Caenorhabditis elegans: one gene and its partners. The protein of the gene in region 4 purifies or fractionates together with the protein of the main gene of each other region. This does not show direct contact. Each region holds a gene or a part of one and is shown on either strand. Other genes may lie near its edges.

Region 1 (3,743 bases), on a different chromosome or scaffold from region 4:
TTTTCCTTTTTTCGATCCATTTTACGAGCTTGATCGGTAGGCGCTCGATAGCGCTCCCCGCTTTTCGTTTTACTGATGGACGGCATTTCTGAAAAAAAAACATGATTTAGGACAGCTGTTCTGGAAATAAAAAACGAATTAAATACAGATATTCGAAAAATGAGGAGCTTTAGGAAAAACATCTAGAATAAAATTTGTATCAGATAATGGATGTGAAATGGATTCATTAAAAAAAAGAAAGATGCTATTATTTTCAAATGAGTGCAAAATTAGCTTTTCTAGACGAAATGTTAATTTTAATCAGAAAAATACGTTTAATTTATTTGGGTGCAAGATCGTCAGAGGCGTCGCGGTTTAGCCCGCAACGCACCACAAAACACTATCAATAGTCCACGTTCGCACCATCAAAATGCGAAGCAACTTTAAATTTAAAGGTTAGGTCTCGAATTCCAATAGACATTCACTTTAGAAGTCATTTCAATCTTTTTCTAAAATCACGACAAAAGTACTAGATTTCACCAGAAAAATAGGTTTATTCAATGATGACTGTAATAAAAAAAATAGCTATGAAATACATGGATTATACATAAAAGATCCTGATAGAATTATCCACGGGTGGCGATGTATCCGATGAGGTCGACAACACGGTTCGAGTATCCATATTCATTGTCGTACCTGTAAAAAATAAATTTAAAATACATTTTTTAAAAATTCAGTGGTTACCAAGAGACGAGCTTGACGAAGTTCGGGTTGAGCGAAATGCATGCTCCAGTATCGAAAATGGACGAGTGAGGGTCGGACACGAAGTCAGTCGACACAACTTGATCTTCGGTGTAGGCGAGGATTCCCTTCATTGGTCCATCGGCAGCGGCCTTGACTACCTTCTTGATGTCATCCATCGAAGCTGGTTTCTCGAGGCGAACGGTCAGATCAACGACGGAAACATCTGGTGTAGGGACACGGAAAGCCATTCCAGTGAGCTTTCCGTTCAGCTCCGGAATGACTTTTCCCACAGCCTTGGCGGCTCCAGTGGAAGCTGGAATGATGTTTTGTCCAGCACCGCGTCCATCTCTCCACAGCTTTCCGGATGGTCCATCGACTGTCTTCTGGGTTGCGGTTACAGCGTGCACTGTCGTCATGAGTCCTTCGATGATACCTGAAAATAAAATAAATTAGAAAAAAACAAATTGATTTGATGATGATCATACCGAAGTTATCATTGATAACCTTCGCCAGTGGTGCCAGACAGTTGGTGGTGCACGATGCGTTAGAAATAACGTGATCATTCGAAGCGTCGTACTTCTCATGGTTTACTCCAACCACGTACATTGGAGCATCAGCAGATGGAGCAGAGATGATGACCTTCTTGGCTCCTCCTTGAAGATGGGCAGAGGCCTTTTCCTTTGTCGTGAAAACTCCAGTAGACTCGACAACGAAATCGGCTTTGACTGATCCCCATGCGATGGCAGCTGGATCCTTGCTGTTGAAGACCTTGATCTTGTGCGATGATTTGCCATCTTTCTGGACAATCAGAAAGTCTCCATCGTAGGTAACAGTTCCTTTGAATTGACCGTGGGTCGAGTCATACTTGAAAAGGTAGACCATGTAGTCGATTGTGATAAACGGATCGTTGACGGCGACCACTTGAACCGTGTCCTTTTCGACAGCCGCGCGGAGCACGAGACGTCCGATTCTTCCGAAACCGTTGATTCCGACGTTGGCTTTCGACATTTTTTTGAGTCTGTAAGAAAACTTGAATGAAATTTTGACGGAAGATTCACAAGAAGTAATAGCTTAAGAAGGAACAAATCTGAATAAAAATGGCGAAAATTCAGATTGAAGCAAAGAGAGCAAAGCAAAATCAACCGCATCGGGAAGAAAAAGAGAATAAATGATGAAAAAGAAATCTAGATTGGTGAACAACTGCAGAAAATTGAAAACTTGCCGCTCGTGCGCGTCTGCAAAGCGCAAAAATATTTTTCATATTCGTTGCGAGACCCGTGGTTTTTAAATTTGGTCATCCCTTTAAAATTGAAAATTCTGGTGGAAAAAAATCAATAATTTTTCTTCAAAAATAAAGAGAAGATCAAAAATTATTGAAAATGAATTTTTATTCCGAAAAATCGAGAATAACACTAAATTTATCAGCTTTTAAGTGTAATCTAGAAATAAAAAAGAAAAACTATGCAAAAACTGAATATAAAAATGTGAAAATAAAATATTTTCGTTTCTTTTCTGAAGAAAAAAATAAATATAATATGCATTGTTTTATATCTATGGATATAAGACAATAATTGTTGATTTTTAGCTATTTTCAACAGGAAAACCGATTTTGTGCCGCTCTCTGATAAACTTGGGTACGGTATGTCTTGAAATCGAAAATTGTAACTCATAGTTTATTACGGGAACACAAAATTCTGAGAATGCATATTATTTACGGGCTCGAATGGATTAAAATAATTTATTTATCTATAGAATACTAAAATTAAGCAAAAAATGAGAAACGAATGAAAAAAGAATGTCGCTGTTCGAAATTAAATTAATTTCATAAATCGAGCCCGTAAATCGACACAAGCGCTACAGTAGTCATTTAAAGAATTACTGTATACAGCTGTAGTTCTCGCTACGAGATATTTAAAGCGTCAAATATGTTGCACAGTACGAATTTTTAGAATTTTGTGTTCCGGTAATATGTAAACTGTATTAATCATCCAGATTAAGAATATTACAATTTATAAAGCAAAAATACAGTATCAGGTCTCGACACGACCTTGAATTTTTAAACGGTTTCTCCAAAAAAGAGTGTACATTTTTAATAAGTAACTACAATAGTTCTTAATTGTCGCGGTTCACAGCTTTCAGTAACAAACTTCCGATCGTTGCAAGACCGTATTCTTGCAACATCTTTGTAGTTTCAAACTTTTAAACATGACTTTGACAGAACATTTCAGAGTTTTTTTGGGATGTCTGATTGTTTTTAACAGGTATGTTTGAAGAAGGAAATTTAATAAAATAAGTAACCTAGGTATATTATATTATTAACTCTCAAACATGTTGAATGTTTCATGTTACTTGAAATACTTGAAATTTGAAAAAAAAACTATTGTGATACTGATACATGTTACGGTATTTATTTTTCAGATTCGCCAGTCTGTGAGGAATATGTCCTAGTTTTCAGCTTCCGTTCCTATGCAAGCGCCGAGCCACCTTCTTCCCAACCTCGGGGGCCCTTAAAGAAATACTTTTAAGAAGGAGAAGCAGGGAAGAAGTGATGTTCCATTGTTGAGAGGGGCCCTAGGCACACACACATATCTCCTTTTCGTCCCATCTCTTCACCCACAACAACACACACACAACTGAGACACACACACTCGCACCACACACACTCACACAGACAGACACTCTCTCACTCACTCACGTACACTCCCCCAGGCAACGAGGAGACACTCCCCGCTGCCGCACATATTTTATCGACGCAGCAACTTAGTTTCGTTCCCCCCTCCCTAACTCTCTCTCTAGGCCACCTTTGCTTTTCTCTAGCTGCTTTTCCGGCTTCATCTCGGCTTCTTTTACAATTTTGGTTTCCATGGAAACTACTTCCAAATTATCCAAGAGACTAAATGCAACATCGTCTGGGTCTCTCTCTGTAAATGTCTAGTTTCAGGGGTGGTGCGGCAGAGAAGAAAGTCATGACCAATGAGGAGCCGGTGCCATCGACGAGCAGTGTGCTCAGTGCAGCCGAG
Region 2 (4,972 bases), on a different chromosome or scaffold from region 4:
TCGAAAATAATTAATTTCTCATATTTATTAAGCGGGTTTCTATATTTTTTTGTTCACGCTGAAAAACATTTCAAAATAAAAAAAGCTAATAAATCGTTCCAAAAAAATGTATTTCCTATATCTTCGAATCTAAAAAATGACGTCTTCTTCCGTTCAACAATCGATTGAAATTCGTGTTAATTGGAATGAAATTCCAACAATTGAGCAAAAAATTTTGGAGGCGCTGAAAGGAATAAAAACTCGAAATATCCGAGAGACGAATGTAGTTTTGTTCAAGAAAAATGAGGTATGTTTCCACTTTCTCATTCCTTTCCAAATAATTGTTTTCCAGGAAATTCATGTGAGAATCGAATTGAAGCCAATGGAATTCCCTGACACAAATCGTTGCAAAGCGGTTCAAGCGAACACCATTCCGTTGGTTGGTGACCATCGACTCGGATGTACCGGAATTCAGTATCGACAGGAGAAGGCAGCGAAACGTGGAAAGAAGGCTCGCATGTCGACCGGCGTTCAGACAGTCTCCACAAAGAATCAATGACCAAGAGTACTTCTTTTATCCGGTTACGCGATTGATAAAGAGATATAATAGGGGGAGGAATAAAGAGAAAAGAGAGAGACAACATAGTACAATAGGCAATGTAAAATCAATGTGAGTGGATTAGGAGACCCTAGTTAAAATGAAATAGGAATGATAATCAGGTGAAAAAAAGGATAAAATAATGATTTGATTGAGAGATCGAAAAGAAAACGGGGCTTATGTTCCAGCTTCCAGCAGGAAATTAGATGAGAGTGATCTTATCTTCGGCAATCATTGCAGCGTTATCGTTTTCCAATTGTTCGTATCCAGCCTTCAGCTCATCCTCAGTGAACTTGTGTGATCCGGCTTGAGTTTGAACACCTGAAAACATTTTTGTAATAAACATTTTTAATGAAACATTTGCTTACTGTCTGTGATAATTTGAAGTTCAACCATATCGTCGGTGCTTCCAATGTCGTCGAACGCCTTTCTGACGTACTTCCGAAGCTCCTTATAACGATCAACTCCGATGGCAGCCGGTCCAGTACGTGCTTTCTTAGCAGTTGGCTGACTTTCTCCAATGGTAGTATCCATCATAGAATCCTGGCTATCATCATCTTCAGCACGCCTTCTGACTCCACGACGCGGGGTGGCTGCAGTCGGAACGGAGCTAGATTGAGGCTCTTCCGATGTTGCCATGTCCTCGTTATCGCTCTGATCCTCATCATCGTCACCATCAATTCGTGGAGCTCGCTTCTTCTTCTCATACTCTTGACGAGCCTTTGGCTTCTCCTTGAAACAGGCAAAGTGGAGCAGATTGTAAGCTTTCTCAGTATCCTCTCGTTCGACTTTTTTCGAGAATCTTGCCTTCGCGATAGCAGTTGACAAACGAATCAATGTTTCGAGTTGACGAGCGGTGACAGGCATTGTTCGTTCTTGATCAGTTTTGGTGATATCAAATGAACGAATATCGGCATATACTTCAGAAATGTACTCAGTAGCTTCATCGGTGAGTTTTGGTTGAACTGATCTTGCCAAATGGATGTACTTTCTCATGAAGTCCATTGTCAGGATTTTCGTGCTGAAATAGAGAAATTAATTAATTTATATTGTTTTTTTATAAAAGAAACTCACTCTTGAATACCAGCCCATTGGGTATTTTCCTCATAGATCGAGCTGCTCGCCTTCTTAGTCTCCATATTGATTGTACTGATCGTCTCAACACCTCCACCCATCGGAAGAACAGTTCCATCGGCTTCACCTTGGGTTCTGTAAGTGTGAAGCTTGAGCACATGTTCAGCGACATTAGCGTCCTTGTCCGCATCATGCTCATCAAGAAGTACAAAGATCAAATCGAAACGCGAGAGGAGTGAATCTTGCATTCCGATGTTTTCCATTGGAGATTTGAATGGATTGTATCGTCCGTACACCGGATTTGCTGCAGCCAGAACCGAGCAACGAGCATTCAGCTTCGCGTGGATTCCAGCCTTCGAAATTGTGACACGTCCCTGTTCCATAACTTCGTGGATTGCAGTTCTATCAATATCAGACATCTTGTCAAATTCATCAATACAAACGACACCACGATCGGCGAGAACCATTGCTCCAGCTTCAAGACGACGTTCTCCCGAATCAGGATCAGTAGTAACAGCAGCAGTAAGTCCAACACCCGAAGATCCACGTCCAGTTGTGGTGATAGCTCTTGGGGCCATACGAAGAACATATCGAAGCAGTTGAGACTTGGCAACAGATGGATCTCCGATGAGAAGAACATTGATATCTCCCCTCAAACGAGAACCATTGTTCAGAATCTTTTCCATTCCACCTAGCAACAAACAGAGCAACGCTTTCTTTGTCTCTTCGTGGCCGCAAATTGATGGAGCAAGTGACCGAGCGAGCAGCTCAAATGGGTTTCTTGACTTTGAAATTTTACGAACATCTTTAACATCTTGTGGCTCAAAGTTTGGAATAACCTCCTTTGAAAGCATTTGAATATGATTAATGATGATGATCGAACGGAAGGATCCAGACGAAACTCCATTCTGCTTATTCGGCAGAACACGGAAGACTCCAATGATGCGGACACGATCTCCAGGCTTGACGCGATCTGCCAAATCAAGATCAGCAACACAATCGACGGCCCGAGGAAGTTGACCGGCTGGTGCGGATTCTGGAAGCTCTTGAATTGTGAACGTTTGATGATCCTTGTAAACTGAATGTCCGAATTCTGTTTCAAGAGGATTCTTATTTTCATCTTCTGTTGGATAGTTGTTATTGGTGACTGCAGTGTCGAGCATAGTGAAATCGGCAAATTTCTTCTCGAGCACTTTATTTGTTGCTGGACAATAGTGGACAGAAGTGAGAAGTTTTTGACGAACAGTTGAACACTTTGTGACGATTCCCTCACAGCAGACAAGGTTTCCAAGATATGATGATTTGAGAGTACGTGGATTGACGTGGCGCTCTCCGAAAGTTCCTTCAAAGCCGACGTGGAATCCACTGAAAATACAAATTGTTTAAAAACAAAAACGGCTTTTAAAAGCTACTCACGTTTTGACAACAGCTTGAACATCACTACGATTAATAGCCATTTGAAGTGCAGATTGTAAGCAATTCATCTCAAGAACGCTTTGGGTCAATAGCCTGAAAACTTTAATACTCGGGAATTCTTTATTTTTTATTAATTACCCTTCAGCTCTTTCTGGTAGAATTTCCCTGATTTCATCGAGATTCATCACCAAACGACTTTCTCCATCATTCATCATTTTCACAATTTTCTGACGATAGTGAAAAGTGTCGGCTTGATTGTCCAAAAAGTTGAGATACTGCTCCGTGATTTCTTGTTTTCGAGCATCCTCGGCACGATCAATGAACATTCCATCAGCTTGTCCGTCCATTTTTTCTGAAAATAAGATGTTTTTAACAAAAGAAACTTAAAATTAAAAAATAAACGAATAGAAACTAGAAAGCACGGAGAAGAGCGGGGAAAATAGAAAAATTCGGCCCAAATTCGCGCATTTCTCATTCAAACAGCAAGGTTTCGCGCGCTCGCTCCGTAAACACCATGACGCAACGCTGCACTCAATGCACCTGAAAGTGATGTTTGAACATGTTTATTTTAAATAGCTATTAATAGCGAAATAATTTTATTTAAATAAAAATGCCTGGAATAAAATGAAAATTGTCTGAAATTATCAGTTCAAAATTGTCATTTCAAGTTTCAAAAAACATCAATAACATTTGTGCCCGTGATCTATGCAAAAGATCTCTTCCAAAAATCTCCTCAATTTTTCATAACAAATCACAAAAATGGAATCTATTGTTTCAGTACTCACAAACTCACAGACACAGATGCTTTTCCATTCTATTCATCCCATCTTTCTTATTTTCTCCCTGCCTCCCCCAGGACGCACCTTTCGTAATACATTTATACATAGAAATGGGAAGAAAGTGGTCACAAAAGCACACATATACACAAAATTTATGCCGTAAAGCTTTAAGTGCTTTGACTTTGTCTCCTAGAAACTTGAGCGCACCGCGTGCTGGAAACCATTGGAAACCGTTTGAAACAACATCTATCGGACCCTCCCGCCGCCGCTCGGGCCTTCACTCATTCATTCATTCACAAAGCTATTTTTTCTGTGCTTTTTCGTTTTATATTCGCAATACGATACGAATACGAAACCATGAAACTTCTACTCGCAATCTCGATTCTGGTACTCTGGATTTCAGAGACAGGTGAGAATTGAATCTAGATTTATAACAGGACTGGCGAAATTTTGAACGTGTTGCCTCCAAGAGTACTGTACCGGGTCTCGAAACGACTTTTTTAAGACAAAATCTATTAGCTTACTATTCTTCAAACGAGTGTGCACCTTTAAGGAGTACTGTAGTATTCAGATTGTTTCCGGGTTTTCTTTATTTAGTTGCTATAGTTTTTTCTTCCGTTTTTTAAGTATCAAAAAATGATAATTACACAAGTGAAATTACTTGAGAATGAAACAATTTTTAGAAAACAGGAGAAAACTGTTCTGAGAAAAGTTAGAAACTACCGTACTCTTCAAAGGCGCAAACACTTTTGCAAATTTAATAATGGGTAGTGTCGAGATCTGATCTAAGGGGCTTGGTGTGCGCCTTTAAGAGGTACAGTTTTTCCAGGGTTCAAAAATGTTTATTTGAAAACTAAGTTGAAAATAAACCGAAAAATCTGAAAAAAAAAGTCGTTACTGTACCGCTTAAAGGCGCGTACCTTTCACGATTTGCAAATATTTCTTTCGTGGCGAGACCTTGGAGCTTTGGAACATTGACTTTTTTTCAGAATCCACAACATGCTTCGTCCAAAATAGTATTCTCAATGCGTTCACTCAAGTCTGCCCGGGAAACATCTACACCTGCATGAAGTTCGACTGTAAAGTGAACAATCCGAAGAAATGTGAGTTTTAAGCCTGGAAATTA
Region 3 (7,676 bases), on a different chromosome or scaffold from region 4:
AGTTCAGTTGCCGAGGTGGCGAGCCAAAATTTATAGCATTCCTCGGCAAAAACTGGAATTCCGGAAAAAACCGGAAAAGGCTAAAAAATCTTCGAATTTTTAGCAGGGATTTGAGCAAAATTTGAAAAATCCAAGAAAATTAATTTTTTGCATCAAAAAATTGAAAAATTCAAAAAGTGTGCAATTGCCGAGTTGCCGTACCCAAATTTTTAGCATTTCTCGGCAACTGGGATGAAATTGCTAAAGTTCCGAGGAAAATCCATCTATAAATATGTTTAAAGTGCAATAAAAATAATTAATAAAACGCGCAATTTCGCTGCGAGACCCAAAACTACATATTCTGTACAAGAATCGGGTTCATTTGAAATTTTGAAAAAAAAAATTGAGAAGATATGAGGATCGACGTGAAAAATAATTGAAAATCTCGGCAACAATTTTAGGCACTCGTAGCCGTTGCCGCTGCTGAAACTCGGCACAGATCGGCAATCAGACGGGAGAGTTGAAGTTTCGAAGTGAGTCCCTGCACGATACGCATATGGCACATGGCGATTTGCTGAAAAATTGTTTCGTTGTTTTTTTTTAATGGTTTTGGGCTAAAAAATTAAAATTTGGGCATAGCTTCCGCATCTCCAGTGACAAATGTGCTCTATTGCACAAATTGTTGGTTGGAATACGGTATTTATTGCATATTTCAGCCGAGAATACCACTATTCAAACCATCAATTCGGATAGAGAAACACACAAGTCACAGACAATATACCGGGAAATTCAATTCAGTTGCCAATTTGCCGGAAATTTCAATTTCGGCAATTTACCGATTATCCGGAAATTTTTATTTCCGGTAACTTGCCGATCGGCCGGATATTTTCAATACCGGCAACTTGCCGATTTGCCGGAAATTTTGATTTTTGGCAATTTTCCGTTTTGCTGGAAATTTCAATTCCGGCAATTTGCCGATTTGCCGGAAATTTTTGAATTCCGCTATTTTCCCATTTTGCCTCAAAATTCAATTCCGGCAATGTGGCGGAAATTTTATTTTTTATTTTTGGCAGTTTGCCAATTGGACGAAAATTTTCAATTCCACCATTTTGCCGTTTTGCCGGAAATTTCAATTCCGACAAATTGCCGATTTGCCGGAAACTTTCGATTCCGGCAAATTGCCGAGTTGCCGCAAATTTTCATTTCCGGCAATTTTACGGTTGGCCGGAAATTTCAATTGGAAATTCAGTTCAGTTGCCGAGTTGCCGGACTCAATTTCCGGTAACCAAAAACTAAAATTCGGCAATTTCCGGCAACTAGTCTTCGAAATTCACGATTTTCGCCAATTTTAGGCTACCAATCCCTAAAATCCGGTGGTTTTCGGCAATTTTCAGCCACAAAGGCCGAAATTTAGATATTCCGATGATCTAACAACGAAATTTCGCGTTTTTCGGCAAAACAAAGCTCCAAAAAACGCGGATTTTTGACAATTTTCAGAACACCCCGGGCGGCTTTTAGCCGCTCATTTTGGCTCATTTTCCACCCATTTTCTCACCCGAATATACTCCATTCTCAGCTGTTCGGACACATTTTTCGACAGCTCGACAGTCTTTACCACACGGAACAACGTTGATACAATATCGTCTGAGGAGAAGCCAAGCCGATGAAACTCGTGAATAATCTTGGATGCCTCGAAGAATTTGCGATCCGTACAGTAATGGAGCATTTTGATCATAAGGTCCGGGTGTGGCTCATCACAGACTTTCAGCACATTTTCCTTGTTCACAAGCTCGTAAGCGTTCACTGTTGCCTGGAAAATCGGAACATTTTACTTTTTTAGCCGGAAAATTGCATATTTTACATAGTTTTTAATTGAAAATAAGACATTCTAAATTTTCTACAAGTTTTCAGCCCAAAAATGGAAAATTTGTTTTGAAACGCAATTTTTGTTTAAATTTTCAGCAGATTTTTACTAAAAAAAAATTGGGCATAGCTTCCGCATCTCCAGTGACAAATGTGCTCTATTGCACAAATTGTTGGTTGGAATACGGTATTTATTGCATATTTCAGCCGAGAATACCACTATTCAAACCATCAATTCGGATAGAGAAACACACAAGTCACAGACAATATATAGGGAAATTTAGTTCAGTTACCGAGGTGCCGAGCCAAAATTTATAGCATTCCTCGGCAAAAACTAGAAAAGGCTAAAAAATCTTCGAATTTTTAGCAGGGATTTGAGCAAAATTTGAAAAATCCAAGAAAATTAATTTTTTGCATCAAAAATTGAAAAATTCAAAAAGTGTGCAATTGCCGAGTTGCCGTACCCAAATTTTTAGCATTTCTCGGCAACTGGGATGAAATTGCTAAAGTTCCGAGGAAAATCCATCTATAAATATGTTTAAAGTGCAATAAAAATAATTAATAAAACGCGCAATTTCGCTGCGAGACCCAAAACTACATATTCTGTACAAGAATCGGGTTCATTTGAAAAAAAAATTTGAAAAAAAAACATTGAGAAGATATGAGGATCGACGTGAAAAATAATTGAAAATCTCGGCAAAGCTCGTAAGCGTTCACTGTTGCCTGGAAAATCGGAACATTTTACTTTTTTTTAGCCGGAAAATTGCATATTTTACATAGTTTTTACTTGAAAATAAGACTTTTTCTAAATTTTCTACAAGTTTTCAGCCCAAAAATGGAAAATTTGTTTTGAAACGCAATTTTTGTTTAAATTTTCAGATTTTTACTAAAAAAAATTGAAAAATTGGGCATAGCTTCCGCATCTCCAGTGACAAATGTGCTCTATTGCACCGAATTGTTGGTTGGAATACGGTATTTATTGCATATTTCAGCCGAGAATACCACTATTCAAACCATCAATTCGGATAGAGAAACACACAAGTCACATTTTCATGAAATTTCCACTTAATTATACTGGAAATCGGCATTTTTGCAATTTTTGTGGGGAAAAAATTGTTAAAATACCCCTTTTTTAGATGTCCTTTATCGAAAAAAAAAATTAACTGAAAAATGTAAAAAATTTCAATATTTTGATGAAATTTCATGATTTTCACTGAAAAAATGAGAAAATTTTAATGAAAATTTCAATTTTAGGAAAAATTCTAAGTTTTTTTGTTGCAAAATGTAAAAAACTGGTGAAATCAACAAAAAAAAATGTTTAAATAAAAAAATGGTACGAAATCCAATTTTCATGAAACTTTTTGAGATTTTCAAGGAAAAAAGAACATTCAGCGAAATTTTATATTTTTAGACCAATTTTTCAAAATTTTGAAAATAAAATTATGGAGTTCGGAAGGATGGCCAAGTTTTCCTGGAAATCTTTTTTGGAAATCTTTTTTGGAAATTTTTTTAAAGTTTTTTTTTTTTTTGGAATTATCTGGAATTTTTTGGGATTGTTGTGAAATTTTTAGGATTTTTTTTTGAAATTTTTAAAAAGTTTCCTAAAATTTTTTGAATTTTTTTTTTTGGATTTTATTTTGGAATTTTTGAGATTAATAACATTTTTAGATTTTCACTGAAGAAAATTTGGAAAAGGTCAATTTTTAGTGAAAAAAAATCCTTTAAAAATATGATTTTTTTCACCTTTTTTACGGAAAACGCCAAATTCCAACTAAATTAGCTAAAATTTCCGGTTTTTCACTACTTTTAAGCACATACATTGTAAAAATTCTGGTCTAGAAAATTGTGAATTTTCGCAATTTTTTCCAGCGTTTTCAGCTCAAAATTCAGCCTTTTCCCGGATTTTCTACCTGTAAATTGTTCAACGCCTGTCGCATATCACCCTGTGCAGTGAACAGAATCGCTTCAAGACCCCCGTCGTCATAGTTGACCTTCTCGGCTTTTGCAACCTCCTTGACACGTGTCAACAGCTGTACGGGGCTCAATTTTGTGTAGCGGAGCAGGGCACAACGGGATTGAATGGGCTCTGAAAGGGGCAAAAATCGATCGATTTTTTGGGGAGTTTCCAGGCCGAGATCTGTATTAGTGTGGACGGCAAGTGCCGTTCGGAAATTTTTTGTCAGCAAATTCGGCAAATCGGAAAATCGCCGGTTTGCCAATTTGCCAGAAATTTCAATTCCGGCAATTTGCCAATTTGCCAGAAATTTCAATTCCGGCAATTTGCCAATTTGCCAGAAATTTTAATTCCGGCAATATGTCGATTTGCCAGAAATTTCAATTCCGGCAATTTGCCAATTTGCCAGAAATTACAATTCCGGCAATTTGTCAATTTGCCAGAAATTTCGATTCCGGCAATTTGCCAATTTGCCAGAAATTTCAATTCCGGCAATTTGCCGATTTGCTAGGAATTTGAATTCCGGCAATTTGTCGATTTGCTAGAAATTTTCAAAACCAGCAATATGCCAATTTGCCGGAAATTTCAATTCCGGCAATTCGCCAGAAATTTCAATTCCGGCAATATGCCGATTTGCCGGTAAAATCGTTTGCCGTCCCTAATATGTACCAATAATCTTCTCGGATTGATTGCAGGCCAACGCAAATCTTGTCGTCTTTGTGTACATCTCCATTGTGCGGCGGAGAGCCTGAAAATTTGGTTTTTTTTTTTTGGAAATTCAATGCAAAATTCGTATTGAGCTCGTTGAGAGCTTTCATTTAAGTATAATCATGACTGGGTTCCGAAAATTTCGAAAAAATTGGAAATTTTTTAATCATCGTGGCGGGGGACTAATTTTTCGAGTTTAGGAGGTTTTTTCGGATGAAAATTGCATTTTTTGGGGGGATTTTCATTGGAAAAAATCGAATTCCTCGCAGAAAAACTGGTAGATTGACATCCAAACTGGCTCAATTTCAAAAAAAAAAACACGAAAATTTTGATTAATTATCGTGTAAATTTTCCTGAAAAAATAAGTGAAATTGTGTGTGCAAAGTTACCATTTTTCTCGGTTTTTTTTGTGGAAAAAACGGGCAATTTTCTGATATTTGACATTTTCTCTTTAAAAAAATCGCAAATTGTCTCGGAAAACGCTAGAAATTCCGGATTTTTGACCATTTAATTTATGGCATTTTTCATTTAAAAAAAATTCGAAATTTGTACCAATTTCATTGCAAAAAGCTCAAAAATTGCGGAACTTTGATATTTTCGTCAGAAAATTCCGATTTTATCTAGATTTTGTCAAAAAAAAACTGAAAAATCTACTAAAAACACTCACTTTTCGGCTTTTTTTACTTAAAAAAATCCCGCCTACGTTTAAGTCTAAGCCTGAGCCTAAGCCTAGGCCTAGGCCTAAACCTAATCCAAAGTCAAGGCCTGAGCCTAAGCTAAAGCCTGAGCCTAAGCCTAAAAGCCTAAGCCTAAAACTTTCAGATTTATTTCCAAAATTATCGCAGCCTAGTCATGTTCATACTTAAATCAAAGCTCTCGTTGAGCTGAATTCAAATTTCCAAGTTTTTCGGCAAAATTCCGCACCTGCTGTGCACCATCGGTCATCGAATCGGCCTCGTCCAGTATGATAATCTTGTGACGGCCTTCTGGAAGTGTCACCTTCGTCTGGGCGAACGTTTTGATACGATGACGGACCACATCGATTCCTCTGGAAATATTGGCAGTTTTTTGAGATTTTTTTTTTGAGAAAAATTCAATTTTTTCAAAGTTTTTAGCGAAAAAGTCAATTTTTTTGCAATTTTTCCCAGTTATTCAGGGTTTTTTCTCACAAACCTCTCGTCCGACGCATTCAACTCGAGCACCGCTTCCTTAACCTTATCGCCGAGCAATTCTCGAGCCAACGCCCACACTGATGTCGTTTTTCCGCAGCCTGGGGGACCCTGAACGGAAAAATTCGATTTTTCACTTCACATTTTGACTTTTAAAATGAATTTTTCAACAATCTTCTCACCGACAAAACAATATTCGGCACATTTCCCTCGTGTCCGATCACTTTGAGCCGCTCGACAATGTTCTCGTTGCCGACAATATCGGCGAGCACTTTTGGACGATATTTCTCCACCCATGGCGCTAATTGTTGCTTTTCCGACTTTGACATAGCTGGAAATATTGAAAATTTGATAAGAATTCGATACAAAACTCGAAAAACGTGACGAAAATTCATGGAATGACAAAGAAAATCAGTTTGGCGCGCTTAAAATTCAAAAAACAAATATTATCCGAGAGGAGTACACCGAGCGGGGACAAGGTTTCCTCCTCGGCCGCGGCCACTTTTGCCAAAAAAAACAACAGATATTCATGAAATTGAGCCAGAATCGCTATTTTTGAACGAAATTTCGAATTTTTTTCACAGAAATAGTAAAATTGATAAAATGGGAAGTCGGAAATTACAAAAAATTGTAAATACGAGCTGTTTTTTCAGCGATTTCTAGCAAGAATTAAATGGAATCAGAAGAATTCTGGGCAGAAGAGCATTTTTGCAGATAGAAATATGTTAAATATAATACTATCAGTGTATCTGACCGGTTTAAATAAAGAAAATATGTACGACTGTGGCGGCTTCGGGCTGATTCTCACTTCTCGTGGCAAGTGGATGCACTTCATGGACTTTTAACAGCTACAACTTTTTTCGCGTTGGAGATAGAGCATATGGGCTCGAGCTCGAGCATTTGGGCTCGAGATTGAGCATTTAGGCTCAAGCTCGAGCATCTGGGCTCGAGCTCTTACTTACTTTACTTTGATACTTTGATGTCCGTTGGGTTCAAGTTGCGAAGAGGATAAACTCATTCCATTTTTTTTCACGGTCAGTACGTGCGATGGACAGCCATGGAACCTTCGGAGTGAGCATTCCAAGTCTTCTTCTTCCGACGACGACTTGTCCTGAGTCAGGACTCCTGACATCGAAAAAAGTTTTTTTGAAATAAATAAATAAATAAATAAATAATTAATAATTAATAATTAATAATTAATCATTACCTATATATAAAAAAATAGTGTCCGTTTGTTAACAAGTGACGTCATAGCTTACAAAGGCAAGGTGTTTTCGGCTGTTGGAGGGATATTAGTTTGTGGTTAGTAGAGGAATATGGGCGGGGTACTGTATTAGTACTGTAGGAGTACTGTATTAGTACTGTAGGATCACTGTAGTTTATGAAAAATTGTGTTTTTGTCTTTTGAAGAGATATAGGTTTGGGGTTAGAGGTGGGATATGGTCGGGGTACTGTAGTAGTACTGTAGAGGTACTGTAGGAGTACTGTAGGATTACTGTAGTTTATGAAAAATTGTGTTTTTGTCTTTTGAAGAGATATAGGTTTGCGGTTAGTAGTGGAATATGGTCGGGGTACTGTAATAGTACTGTAGGAGTACTGTAGGAGTACGGTAGGATTACGGTAGTTTATGAAAAATTGACTTTCCGTCTTTGGAAGGGAAATTGGAAACTTCTGGAAAATTCTGAAATGTTCCAGAACCTTCTGGGAATTTCTGGAAAATTCTAGAATGTTCCAGAACCTTCTGGAAAATTCTGAAAAGCTTTAGAACCTTCTGGAAAATTCTAGAAAATTCTGGAATGTTCCAGAACCTTCTGGAAAATTCGAAAAAATTCTGGATTGTTCTAGAACCTTCTGGAAAATTAAAAAAATGTTGCTGCGAGATCTTCGTGGCGAGAGCCATCGTGGCGAGACCCATCGTGGCGAGACCCACCGTGGTGAGACCCATCGTGGAAAGACCCATCGTGGTGAGACCCATCGTGGCGAGACCCACCGTGGTGAGACCC
Region 4 (4,663 bases):
AAGTGTAGAGACCAGCTAAAGGGAGACTTAGATATTGAAAAGAGACGGAACAAAACATTGCTCAGTGTTTTGGAAAAGTTTGTGCTGAATTTTGAAAAAAAAAACAAAAATTTGCAGCGTCCTCATTAGTAAAAAGAACTAATAAAGATTATTAGACTTTTTCAAAAAAAACTAAAGGGTTTTATGATATTTGTTACCGTTTAATTTAAATTAGGTGAATTAGAATAACATCAAAAATTTGACAACCCCCGAGAACAATCAAGACATTCAACTTAGTTGGAAACAGGCGAAGATCGTCTTAAGGTGAGGCAGGCAGGCGGTGAGGCCTATATGATAGGCCTACTTTCAAGATCAAAAGTTTAATTTAGATTTAGAAATAATTCTGTGAATGTACCAAAATGTAAAACAAAAATGTTAAATGACAAAGTCTAGAAAAAAAAAAAAAAGAACATAGAACTACTTCAGGGAGACGGAAGAGAAAATGAGTGAATGTCTCTCTTTGGCGACAAAAAAACTCCATTGACGGAAGACGATGAGAAAGGTGACATCAAACACAACGAGAAGAGGAAAGTAGGTGAGAGAGTGAGTAGAGACGTAGAGAGTTAAGCAAAAACCGTAACAAGTGAGAAAGTGGGGAGATGCAAGGATGATGTAGCAGGAAAATGTAGAGTATGACGTGGCGACGACTATATTCAAATCTATCGAGTATTCGTCGAAGAAGAACCAAATGAAGCACAAGAGAATGATGTTGCCTCACTATGTGCGTGTGTATGTATGTGTGCGTACGGACGGAGAAAACGAAAAAGCAGGACAAAGCGAGGAATACGACGATGACGATAAAGAGGAAAATAAGAAGCGCAGACGAAACAACGGCCGCCGGGGGCCACCCGAGAAAAAGAAGTCCAGAAGGGGCGGCGAAGAGCAGACGCAGAGAATCATCTAAGCTTATGAAATTGAGAGAGAGAGAGACACTCTATGCACGTCTCTTTCTCTTCCAAACTCGCTTGGCCCGACAGCAATTTGTTCCTTTTTGTGTCTATGTCTCTCCGAGTTCTTCGTCTATCTCTCTCAGTGCCCCCCCCCCCCCCGAGCACTATTTGTCGTTGTCACACTCAGTCAGCCATCCATCCAGCCAGCCGTTGGCCCAACCCATTTCATTTCGTCTAAACGTCTGTACTCTCTTCTCTCGTCTATTCCATCTTCTCAAGTGTGTTGTGTTGAATGGATGGTGTGTGTATGTGTATGTGGAAGCACGCGGACCTCCTTCGACAATGTCTCCCTCTCTCTCTCAACCTCTCTTTCGGTTTCTTTTTCTCAGGATAAAGAGATTTTAGACGCAGATATGAAAACAGGACGGAGGACGTCTCTTTCTCCATCTCTATCTCTTTCACTCTAAGAGTGAAGCGCAATGGCTGTGTTGCTATTCCAGGGTCCCAATGCTGTGACTCAGAAATAGAGTATCCTGAGAAGAGATGCAGAGAAGAAGCGGGCACACACGATTGTATTCATATTTTTACTTCTCTGAATCTCTAATACTCCGTACAATCTCTAGTTTTTCAAGAGACAGGTGTCTATCCACCTGGTCTATCAAGCATCGGACCTTCACAGCACCAGTATGACTAGGGATTAAATATTTGAAATTGATGGGTACTGTAGTTCTATTTTTATTTTCACTTCTATGAAAAACCAAGTGATAATCTGGCCTGATTTTCTTAAAATATTAAGAAATCGATTTTAATACTTTTTTCTCAATTTTTAGCGCATAAATCTTCAATAAACATACCGCTTTCTTCAAATGATTTTCACAATAACCACAATACTTGACATTCCGACTTATTGCCCCTTCTTCACATAAAAGTCCTTTCCGCTGAGCACAGGTTACGTGAAAGCTCCTCTGAAAATTTCGTTTAAATTACAAGAAATTTAAAGAAAAATAAAAATACCTTGCACGTCGACTTGTTACACGACATACATGCACCTTTTTTCGCATCATTTGGACGTTCTTCATTGCAGATGTAGCACAGTTTATTGAATCTATAAAATATATAAATTGATCGAGATAGTAATAAAACTTCAAGATTTTTTCAAAGAAAGAGTTTAAAATGTTTAGATTTTTTGTTGTTGTTTTTTTTTTGAAAGTCGAAAAATCGAAAAACTGGAAAAAAAATTTCGGTTCAGAAATGTACCGGAAATTTTTAAAATTTGAGATTTTCCAGAGAGTCAAAAAATCGAAAGTCGAAAACTCAAAAAATATTCACCCTTGATCAGACACATTTTTCATATTGAATTACCCATATTCTTGAGAAAAACTTACTTATCAGTTGGTACATCATTTAATATGACTGGTTCCATACTATGTACGTTCCCAAATCGCACTTCTGGAATGTAAAGTGCACAAATTACATGAGCCCATCCGTTTCGATCAGTTTTTTTCAATGCTCCATAGTCAAACGGACACAATTGACAACAAAATGTTGCCTCATTTATACTGCCGGGCATCATAGCTGATGCTTTCGTACATTTTGCACAAAACCATTCGCCTTCGGGTACTTCTTGAATTCCATAACATCCTGAAATGATAAAAATTCGGTGGGGCCTAATCGGAAAATTTGGTTTTTTGAGAGAAAATCGAAAAAAAAAAATCAAATTCATCTAATAAGATGGAAAAAAGCAAAACTTCAAACAATGCTTGGAAACGTTGGATTTTTTTTCGAAATATCGGGAAAAATACTAAAATTTTTCAATTTCTGTGAACTTCTACTCACCCTGATGTACTGCAACTTCACAATTCTCTCCATCACAATAGATCAATGGATTGTCTGTCCAACCATTCTCATCTGCACAAACGCAGCATCCACCTACCATCTCCTTCATTTTTCAGCAATTTCGGGGGACTCTGTAAAAATAATTATCCATTTGAGAATACAATTCACAAATTTTCCACAAAAATTCGAAAAAACTTACGATAATTTTTTTTGGGTTACTGTAGCTGGTCAAGAGGTCAGGCGTGGCTCATTTGTATGGTGATGTGCTGTAAAAATTCGGTAAAAATTACGCAGAAAAGGGGAGATTAGAGGTATATTGCCGTAAATTATTGATTTATTATGGCCGAGCGACAAATAAAGAAACAGAACAAATAGAAATAACCTAATTTCGGAGAAAAAAGAACGTTTAACAATTATCTATAATTGAATGCGTATCAAAAATAGTATTAAAGTTTCATAGAGATATTTAAATATTAGATTCGGAAAACAAAATAAATTGAAGAATGTTTTGCTTTATAAAATACACTAAAAATCCATTTGAAAATATCAAATATCAAATTACGAAACTCTTCAGAAATTCATTGAAAAATCTTTTATGGCCATTCAAAATTTTGCATAAAGGCTAATTCTTCAAAATTTAGAATTTTAGGTAAAACTGCTATAAAAAAGTTTGAGGAATTATTGAAAAGTTTCGTTATGAATTTCGGACTTTTCGGGCCAATTTGAGTGAACAAATTTTTCATTGAAAATTTAACGCCGAGCATTAGATATTTTTCTCTCAATTTTTGAAATAAAAGAAAATGGAACTGTACAAAATTTCGTCACAAAAGACAAACGGCAGCAGTCAATCAATACGACGAATAGAGGTCATTCAAAGACAAAAAATTTTTGCAGCGTCTCTCTTTTCTCTCTCCTTCTTATTATCGGGGAGCGGCCATCGATTCGATTTTCGATTCAGTCAAGTCAAAAAAGTTATGGGCGTGAATGAATGAATATACATTTAATAGTGATAATCAAATTGAGAGAACGACAGAGAATTACAGATTGTGTATGGAAGAAAAGGAAGAAGAAGAAATACACTGATAACGACGACATCGTCAGTGTCTTTCTCTCTCTCTCTCTATCTCTCTCTCGTCACCAAACCACCATCACAATCTTCCCGATTTGAAGTCTTTGACAATGAGAGAGTATTAGACACAGACAACTAGTAGCCTACAGTAGGAGAGACCGACATCACGTTCTCGTTTGGAAGAGAGGGAGAAGCAATCGAGAAGAAGAAGAAAAAGGAGGTGAAGATAGACACATACAACTTGGCATCGTGCCAAGCATGCATGAATTCTCACAGGGGCGCAGCGACGTCGGCTCTTCTATGTCACATGCACACAAGGAGCACATACATACAAACAAGAAGGGGAAGCTTTGCTCCTTTTCTCTCTAACTTTCTGCGTTCCAGTGCTTTATTTCATATAGCCGTATGTTTTAATAAAATTAGTTGAAAAGAAAATAATATACGGATCGGAAAATATAAAAATTTAAATGAAAAGAGTCATTTGGATGCTTAAAAAATCGTCCAAGGGCGAAATAAAGTTAATAAACTTTTATATTTTTCTCTAAACCTCGCCTAACATTTTCTACCACATAACCTTATAAAAATTAACATTGTATTGTCATTGAAAAATTAAATATTGAAAATTAACGGTCAAGGTGATAAATATAAATGGAAAAGTAATCAGTATCATCATAGACACAGATGTGATCGGATATACTTCGGGTATCGAGAAAAGAAAATTTACGATGGGGTACTTGCATAACACAAGAAAATCTCTACAGAGGGGTCACGAAGGATTACGATAGTCAAGAAATCATTTTATTGATTTTTTAAAACCACTTGGGGAACA

Evidence for each region.
Region 1: the proteins of zfp-1 (region 4) and gpd-4 purify together in Caenorhabditis elegans (affinity purification with mass spectrometry, with the first as the bait; one study listed by BioGRID). This does not show direct contact.
Region 2: the proteins of zfp-1 (region 4) and mcm-3 purify together in Caenorhabditis elegans (affinity purification with mass spectrometry, with the first as the bait; one study listed by BioGRID). This does not show direct contact.
Region 3: the proteins of zfp-1 (region 4) and rfc-2 purify together in Caenorhabditis elegans (affinity purification with mass spectrometry, with the first as the bait; one study listed by BioGRID). This does not show direct contact.

Annotation. Positions count from the first base shown.
Region 1 is NC_003280.10:10,169,268-10,173,010, reverse strand, and holds gpd-4 (Glyceraldehyde-3-phosphate dehydrogenase 4), read right to left. Parts: upstream 1,744-3,743; 5' UTR 1,732-1,743; coding exon 1,209-1,731; intron 1,157-1,208; coding exon 724-1,156; intron 676-723; coding exon 606-675; 3' UTR 513-605; downstream 1-512. Other genes in the region: WW domain-binding protein wbp-11, read right to left, coding at 1-86; RFX-like transcription factor daf-19, read left to right, coding at 3,690-3,743.
Region 2 is NC_003283.11:15,056,181-15,061,152, forward strand, and holds mcm-3 (DNA replication licensing factor MCM3), read right to left. Parts: upstream 3,420-4,972; 5' UTR 3,415-3,419; coding exon 3,206-3,414; intron 3,161-3,205; coding exon 3,068-3,160; intron 3,017-3,067; coding exon 1,652-3,016; intron 1,599-1,651; coding exon 946-1,598; intron 899-945; coding exon 780-898; 3' UTR 539-779; downstream 1-538. Other genes in the region: C25D7.16 (40S ribosomal protein S20), read left to right, coding at 137-286, 332-538; nssp-71 (neuronal small secreted protein), read left to right, coding at 4,204-4,255, 4,836-4,949.
Region 3 is NC_003282.8:1,345,644-1,353,319, reverse strand, and holds rfc-2 (Replication factor C subunit 2), read right to left. Parts: upstream 6,007-7,676; 5' UTR 6,003-6,006; coding exon 5,856-6,002; intron 5,785-5,855; coding exon 5,678-5,784; intron 5,553-5,677; coding exon 5,429-5,552; intron 4,545-5,428; coding exon 4,466-4,544; intron 3,929-4,465; coding exon 3,753-3,928; intron 1,790-3,752; coding exon 1,535-1,789; intron 554-1,534; coding exon 437-553; 3' UTR 343-436; downstream 1-342.
Region 4 is NC_003281.10:8,796,766-8,801,428, reverse strand, and holds the start of zfp-1 (Zinc finger protein zfp-1), read right to left. Parts: upstream 3,032-4,663; 5' UTR 2,965-3,031; intron 2,897-2,964; 5' UTR 2,875-2,896; coding exon 2,766-2,874; intron 2,571-2,765; coding exon 2,315-2,570; intron 2,035-2,314; coding exon 1,944-2,034; intron 1,897-1,943; exon of another isoform or gene 1,895-1,896; coding exon 1,784-1,894; intron 944-1,783; coding exon of another isoform or gene 728-943; intron 1-727. Other genes in the region: F54F2.6 (uncharacterized protein), read left to right, coding at 728-943. UniProt on the Caenorhabditis elegans protein: Recruits the histone methyltransferase dot-1.1 to chromatin to methylate 'Lys-79' of histone H3 and activate transcription. Recognizes and binds histone H3 methylated at 'Lys-4' (H3K4me) at the promoters of target genes.